2 linked regions of the Drosophila melanogaster genome follow. The protein of the gene in region 1 purifies or fractionates together with the protein of each later gene. This does not show direct contact. Each region holds a gene or a part of one and is shown on either strand. Other genes may lie near its edges.

What was found.
Region 2: the proteins of RYa-R (region 1) and RYa fractionate together in Drosophila melanogaster (co-fractionation; one study listed by BioGRID). This does not show direct contact.

The regions. Positions count from the first base shown.
Region 1 is NT_033777.3:26,994,987-27,000,152, forward strand, and holds the start of RYa-R (RYamide receptor), read left to right. Parts: upstream 1-1,993; 5' UTR 1,994-2,356; intron 2,357-4,765; exon of another isoform or gene 4,766-4,771; coding exon of another isoform or gene 4,772-4,805; intron 4,806-4,866; coding exon of another isoform or gene 4,867-5,166. Other genes in the region: TwdlC (TweedleC), read left to right, coding at 1-83, 299-1,245; CG31077 (uncharacterized protein), read left to right, coding at 4,772-4,805, 4,867-5,166. UniProt on the Drosophila melanogaster protein: Receptor for the neuropeptides RYamide-1 and RYamide-2. The activity of this receptor is mediated by G proteins which activate a phosphatidyl-inositol-calcium second messenger system. RYamide signaling may suppress feeding behavior.
Region 2 is NT_033778.4:3,645,478-3,648,445, forward strand, and holds RYa (RYamide), read left to right. Parts: upstream 1-1,868; 5' UTR 1,869-1,919; coding exon 1,920-2,249; 3' UTR 2,250-2,288; downstream 2,289-2,968. UniProt on the Drosophila melanogaster protein: Neuropeptides RYamide-1 and RYamide-2 are ligands for the G-protein coupled receptor RYa-R. May suppress feeding behavior.

The sequences.
Region 1 (5,166 bases):
TTTGGGTCGTCCTGAGCCCCCATCCCCGTACTCCTACCACGGATTGCCTCAGCAGCAGAGCCAGCGGGCTTTGCCACTCAATGGTAAGTGGGCGGAGGATGAAATAGAAACATTATAGGAAATTAAAGCGAAAAAGATTAAAGCTATTTATGTGACACAGATTTTTGCTAAAGTCTTATGAGCATGACAACTATTAAAGATTAGATTAAACATTGATTATAGTAATATAATTCAGCAAATGTAGATATATTAACTCCATATATTTATCTTAATCTTATTAATCTTTCTTTTTGGACAGCTCACCCCGTTCCCCCGCAGATTTACCAGCCTCTGCCCCAGGAGCAGTCGTTTGCCAACTTTGCACCGCCCCAGCAGACCTACTTGCCACCCCAAATGCATCTGGATGCCATCGAGCAAGTGGCTCCCACTGCCGCCGCCGCTGAGCCCCTGAATGCCTACGATGACAGCTACAACATGGCCCACCGCCTGTCCGGAGTGCAGCATGCCAGTGGCTACAACAATGGCCCCCAGGAGACCAAGGTGCACAAGCACATCTACGTCCATGTGCCGCCAAAGGACTTCGAGGAGGAGGATGCCATCCAGACCCGAGTTCACCACCAGCAGGGACCCAAGCAGAAGCACTACAAGATCGTGTTCATCAAGGCACCATCTGCTCCGGCTATCCGTCAGCCAGTTGTGCCACCACCACCCCAGAATGAGGAGAAGACTCTGATCTATGTGCTGCACAAGAAGCCCGAGCAGGAGCAAGATATCGTGATCCCGACGCCACCACCCACCAAGCCATCGAAGCCAGAGGTTTACTTCATCAAGTACAAGACCAAGAAGGACGAGGCCCCCGTCTATGGACCCCCACCTGCAGAGATGGAGCCCCGTCAGGCCACCGCCGAGGATTTCGCTCCATTGGCTGAGGTCGCCGATGTCCTGCCACCCACCACCCTGGCTCCTGCTCCCGAGCCGGAAGTAGAGCAGCCAGCCATTCCCTCCGCGGTCTACGGACCACCCACTGCAGCTGCCTATACTGGTGAGGAGGTTCAGACCACCTTGTCCGCTCCTGCCAACCAGTATCTGCCCCCTGCCACCGCTCCCGCCGCCCTGGCCATTGAGGAGCCCTCAATGGCGCCCATCGTGGTGGAGGAACAGCCCGAGCAGCGACTGGCTCCTTCCCATGTGCCTGCCACCAGCTACGGTCCTCCCAACCGCTACTTCCTTAAGAAGCTGAAGTGAAGCCCGCTGCTTTGAGATGGTGATGCCTTAGCCAATTTCACAGTTTGTCATAGTCTAATGTCCATTGGATGCACCTCTTCCCAATCCCCTGTTCCCAATTCACACATGCACACGTGCCAAACCTCCCCACATGCACATCTCGTTGTTTGTTCGTTTGTATAACTTGTTACATTTGTTTTAATAAAGAGTAGATAATAAATATCAAATTTATAAAAAAAAAACTAAATGGCCTTTTAGTGTGGAATATTCCTCAAAAGTTTTATACACTTTCTTTAAGCTTAGTAAATGGTCCAGTTAATTCGGATAAAACACAGTGGAACAACAATGGATTTCGCATTTCAATGATTTAATGATGGCTCATGCCGCCTAATATGATAATTGACCCTGTGTGAAGTCGTGACCTTGGCAAATTTACAGCCTGCTTAATTGCGTTACGTTTTGTTGATTTCGGCTGTAGGCCCAATTTCGACGGCTTTCCTCATTGCTGTGCTCATAGAAAAATCGTAAAGTAATGGCCAAAATGGCAAAGCACTTAGAGGGAAGAGGCCGGAGCAACATGTTGCTGAGACTTCCCGCCAAAAGCAACAGTTGCTGCCTGCGCAGAGCTATGTTGCAACATGTGGATGGAAAAGCCGGGAAAAGGAGTACGAGGAACTGCCTTTCGGGTTCGTGCCCGAGTTTCGTGGCCGTTTGATCAGTCAGTCCGGATGAAAAATCCGGCTGCACACTCAGTTCGCTTTCTGTGCTCGCGCGAGTCGCATCGTAGGTGGGCGTGTTCCTTCACTTTATGTCGGTCGTCTCCGTCTGGTTAGCGTATTCAACGTATTCAAACTTATAAGCCCATTGAAAACACTCGGTCCATTCAATTTAGCGAGTGGTCATAAGCAGCGAAAACACTATCGGTAAACGGTAAACAATTAATGAATTGCGACTTTAATCACGCGTCCAACAGTGCGTATACGCAATACGAAAAGTGAGTGATTGCAAGTGAAATTGTGGGCCATTGTTTCAGGTCATTACATCTGGCATTGGCATTGACATTGGCAGTCTCGACGACGTGCAATCCCCTCGAGGGTAGCTCCAGTCCAATCTCAGTGCCTCGCTGCACCAGGTGAGTTGTAATGAGCTTTGTTTACCTGCTAATCAGCTTGTCCTCTCCGCCGGCAAATGGCTTGTTGTTTCCGCTTGTTAGCATTTGGCTGTGTTTCACACATCTGGTCGCTGGTTCGGTTCTGGTGGGGATTAGCTTCCGACACATGACTATATTTCACGGACGAGTTTTAGACCAACATTCCTGTTATAGTCAATATATTTTGGTAACACCTGGCTGATGTGCCTAATTAGATTTATCAGGACACGAGCCAGTCACTTTAACTCAAAAACTGATAAAAATGAAATTTCTCAACAAATTTGAATTGCATTATCCTTATGCCTTTCCGGCAGCATCATCAATCAGCAGTTTCTTGTGTTGCAGCTGCACAAGTTTACTTGGACATAAATAACATAACACATACGCAACGTTGTCCATGGTGTCGTTGAATGTGTTGCATGAAATGGACTTAAGCAGGTCTTATCTCCTAAGTTTTCCATCCATTTTGCTTTCGTTGACAACCATGCCTGGCCGGGCTAATTGTAAATTATGCAGGATGATCCGAAATTGGAGCAGTTTTTAGGTCTTTGTCCTTTCACCAACTTTGTCCTTGTGCGCTGCCATTGTTGCACGTGATACATATATTGTTATTAAATTCTCTCATTTTATTGGGGGCTTCTTCAAGGCATTGCAGCCTTAGTGAACTCGTGTTGTACTTAAACGGTTATACGGCTTTAGCCTTTTTTATCTTATTTACCGATTCGCTTATATTTAGCATTTGTTTTAGCTGTTGTCGTTCGGTTAACGCAATATGCCATGGTTTTTACTGTTTGTTTGCCGCCATGTTGCGATTCTGGTTTATTAATTCGGTTTAATTCGTTTATAGTGTTCTCAAATTAACGCCAGCAAAATTATTGTAACTGGATTAATCAGTGAGATTTTAGATAAAAGGGAGCGATTAAAAAATTAAAAGAACTACAATAATTTAAAAGTATTTATTTCCATAAATATTTGGTCAGTTAGGAAACAAGACATTTTGCTTTTGTCTTGAATTGATACCATCAATTGGTATTTGATTTTGTAAGTAAACAGCTTTTAGCAAATAACACACAGTGCAAACAGTTCATAAGTAAATAACTAAACAATTCGTTGTAAAACATTGTCGCATGACATATGCCGTTTGATTAGATAGTTAAGATATTAAGTGTGCAGTATATATTACTAATAGCAGAGAAAAATGTTTGGTTGCAAACAATTGAAAACATTTTCAGCAAAGTAAAATGAGGAAGCAATCTTCTCGAGTGGCTGCATCATATGTTTTCGGTGACGTTTTCATGTCTGTTTTATTTCCTAGGAATTGTTTTTTCATTAAAGCACTTAAAATATAGTAAGATAACAAAAGAAAAAAAATGACAATAACAAGGACAATTTGTTTACACTGAAAATATGCACAAACACAGCGGCGATACTTTTAAAAAGTTTACGGTGTGTAAAAACGTGAAAATTCTAGTTCAGAAGGGATAATAAGTGTGTGAGGTTATCTAAAACGGCTTTCTGAATAAACAATCAAGATGCACTTGGTCAACCCGGCTTTTAATATTGATAATTCTTTTGCCAGAAGTTTACCCTCGGCTGAGCAAAGGAATTTGTTTGACTGCCAAAAAGTTTCAAGTCATCGTTGCCTTTTCAATGCAAAGAGGAATGCAATGAAAGTTGGGATCTGTGATTTTTCCGGATAAGTTAACGTTCCAATAAAATGCAATTAATTTGAACTAGGAAAAAGACATTTTCTTTGCTTGCTGTCACTTTTTCCAAAGAGGCTATCAAAAGTGTGACCCATTGAAAATTTTATGAGAATTTAATCATACCAAACTTTGTTTTAATAAATACAATATTTTCGGAGAATGAACGATTTTTGGGCTTAAGGGCTCCATTTAACCTCTTTCAAAAAGCAACAAATGATGCAGGGCTCTTTTCTTATGTAAATTCAATAGTTTTCGTCATCGGGATGTGCGGAAATTTAGTTGGGAGTGTCCGCTTGAAAAAGGGGTTAAACTAACTGATAGAAATATGCAAATCACTTGGCTCAATGTGTGAATTCAACCGAGGGTAACACAGGTTATTCTTTGATGTAAGCATTATTGTAATTCGGTCTGTCTTGGGATAAACCCTTTTAAGTTGTCCCTTTTATTGCAGCCTTACATGGCTACAATGTTGTTTGCCGATGATTATTTAAGCTCTAAAAATAATACTATTGCTGAGTCACTTGCCAGTGGTTTTTCTCATATATTTTCTATTTGCCACTTATAAAAGAACATATGTAAGTTCTCTGAGATAAAGTCTTTACTCTTATCAATAGTTACAAAAGTGCTAATGGAGCTGCAATATAAAAGCGGGAATTGCATAGAACAGTTCTCATTGTAGGAATATAAGAAAATGGAGTTGCAACTAGGACGGATGTATTACGAAGGTGAGACCCCCGTCAAAGGAAAAATTATTTAAAAGGAGCTCACGAATATTTCCCAATTTAGTGTTTTGTATTTCGGCATGGATATGTCTGATGCGTCCATCTTTTGGATCCATTATTAAGGACTCTGTGAAATGTACGGAGGGTTCAGTAGCTGCTGACATTGATGACTGCGCCAGCTACTTTCAGTGTATCGACGATGAAACTGTGCACCTAAATTGTGCCAATGGAAGTTATTTTGAAGCTAGTAATGAAATCTGTGTGGTGGACGAGTTTGGTGTATGCCCTACTTCGCGGAGATTATGTTTCGATGGAGATATTTTTGAGGATATAAATGATTGCATGTCCTACGTTAAGTGTATTC
Region 2 (2,968 bases), on another chromosome or scaffold:
TTTGCTGGTAGATGTGGTGGGGGTGGGGTTAGTATCAATGTCTTCTATTTTGTCGTTGCTGTGGTGTTGATGGTGTTGGAGTGGTTGGTTGAATGGTAAGGTTTTTTTTGGCTGGTCCAGTTGCTAGTGTCTTAGATGAAGTGTTCTGTGCTGCTGATGTGGGTGTGTAGTGCGGATTTTGGTGATGCGATTGGGTTGCATTTATGTGAATATTAGGTGATTGAGTGTTTGTTGTCCTCTGGGCTGAGCCGTTTGTAAGTGTTTTGGCATAGGTGTCTTTCGGTTGGAAACCGTGACGTTCAAAATAAATGCGTTGGGCAGTTTTATGGTCAACTTTTTGTGTGGTTTTAATAGCTGTTAGTTCTTGGATTTTTATGAACGTAGGGCATTTGCGGTCAATTGGGCTGTGTTGATGGTCAAGTTCTGGGTTGTTTCGGCAATTTAAGCAGTTTTTTTTGTTTGTGCATTTCTCTCCGTCGCTTGTGTGTTTTGTTTCTGAGAAACTAATGCAAGTTTTTTCACATTTTCATATGGGTGTTGGATGACCGAAGCGGAGGCATTTTTGCATCGAAGTGGGAGTGGGATATAGTCTCGTACTCGGACTGTTTCGTAACCGATTTGTACTATCTCAGGGAGCTTATGCGACTCAGAGGTTATAATTATTAATACAGTTTCAACTATAGTGCTGTTGTTGGTGTCAGAGTTAGAGTTGGGGTTTTGCCGTTTCATTATTTTTTTAGCTTCAGTTACTTTTTGTGGTTTTAGTTCTTGTAGAATTGTGTCTTCGTCGATGTGTTTAAGGTCGTTACAATAAATAACTTTCTTAGAGAAGTTTAATGTTTTATTTTCACCAATTTTTTTTTTTTGGTTTTTAGGTGATGCTCTTTCGAAAGAGTTGTTGTCTTTCCCTTTAATAATAGTAAATTTAGGTTCTCTTAATTGGAATTGTTATTATTTTGGGGTAATTTTCTAAATGTTTGGTGGGCCTGTCATAATTGTTGGTTAAGGGCTTGATCCCGGGTTGGAGGTCTTGTTGTTTTTATTGTTGTGTTTTTTATTTTCTCTTTGTGGTTGATATTTGTTTATCAAGATTTTGCTGATAAGGGTTTTGGGCTTACGCGAAGCGAGGCTTTAAACTGAGTGGCACGACTTATCTCTTCGGAGGTTGAAGTGATACTGTCATTATTTAATTAGTCTCGTATATTTCTATCGATTTGCCAAAAACAAATTTTTTTGCTAAAACCGCACAAATTATATATAATATATATCTTATTTATTATATTGTTATATCTATTTTATAATATCTATTCACTATGCGTTCTCAATTACACGGGTATGGCATTCTCTCTTGTTTTTTTATATAATGCACAGGTCGTAAATAACTTTGTTTTTTTTTTTATTTTTAGTACCCATGTCTGTAATAATCCTTATATTCTACCATGCTTGGGTATAAGTTCTTCAAAAATGGCTTTAGAAATTATTTTCGATCTTTTATTACGTGTAGGTACTGTTACCAAATATTTGTACCCATGTCATAATAATCCTTATATTCTACCATGCTTGGGTATAAGTTCTTCAAAAATGGCTTTAGAAATTATTTTCGATCTTTTATTACGTGTAGGTACTGTTACCAAATATTTGCTTAGATCGCAGATGATATTGACTGTATACTCATTTCCATATTCTGGAAGTGGAGCAATTGTGTCTATCAACACTACACACTATTCTCATGCTGGGGTTTCGGTTATAGTCAATAATACAATTTTTTTAATTGCCTTAGAGTTCTAGAAATTTCTGAGTGAGTGACAAATGATCGTCATTTAATTTAAACAGTATTGGTTTACTTTGAACATTATCTCTTTTTTCTATCTTCGTCCCCTTGTTATTATTGTCTGAATTTTTAAGTATATATAATAATAATGAATGAATGTGTAAACAAATTATTACATTTAAAGTTTTTGTTCTATTTCATTCTAGGAATTCAAAAACGCCCAGTTTTTTTTGTTGCTAGTCGCTATGGACGAAGTACTACATATGATGAAAGTTTAAAATCCAGACGCATTTTCATCGTACCTCGAAACGAGCATTTCTTTCTTGGCTCTCGGTACGGTAAACGAAGCGGCAAATATTTATGTCTTTCGAGGGAAATAAATAAGCTGATAGTCAGAAAAAGATTACGAAACAATGATAAAGAACGAACTCCAACTTTAAGCTTTATAACCAAACACTTTCTGATGCGAAATACTTAACTAGTATATTAAAAGAAATTTCAATGTAGAGACCGCCAGTTATTGATTGACCAATATTCTGAGTTTGTAATGGCATTCGACTCTGACATGAATGCCAATTACTAATGCTTTTTGTTAAATATAACATATAATAACATTTTATAACATACGCCCTCGGCGTTTTATCACAACGAAGGAAAACTGCTAAGAAATAAACAGGAAAAATAAATCTATTTAAATATTATTAAAAATAAAATTGCATGTTTTTTTTTTTTCTTTTTTATATAAAAAGAAAGTTCCCGAATTGTTTGAATGATATATGGAAACCAGGTCAAACATCCTGTGTGTTGTAGAATTTTATAATGCTTGGATCTCCTGTACCGAACTACTTGTATTACTCCCCCGAGCAGATGCAGCTTGGCGATCAAGCACCCGCTGGTTTCGGCTACCAATTTTTGATAGATTTAGGGAGGGGAGTAATTACCATCGTCACTACTCGCTCGGCACTTATTTAATGCGGGTGCTAGGATTGATCTACACAAACAAACGGGCTATGGGACTAACGGACGATAGGACTAAGGACAAATAAGGGCATACCAACATCTCACGACAGCAGCTATAATGCTGTCCACGTTAACATAAAAGGTTATCCCTACCAGAATGATATACTTTACACTACATATACCCTCAGACCTATGACTCCCCTAGGGAAATTCATTAAAAAAAATGAAATATATTAA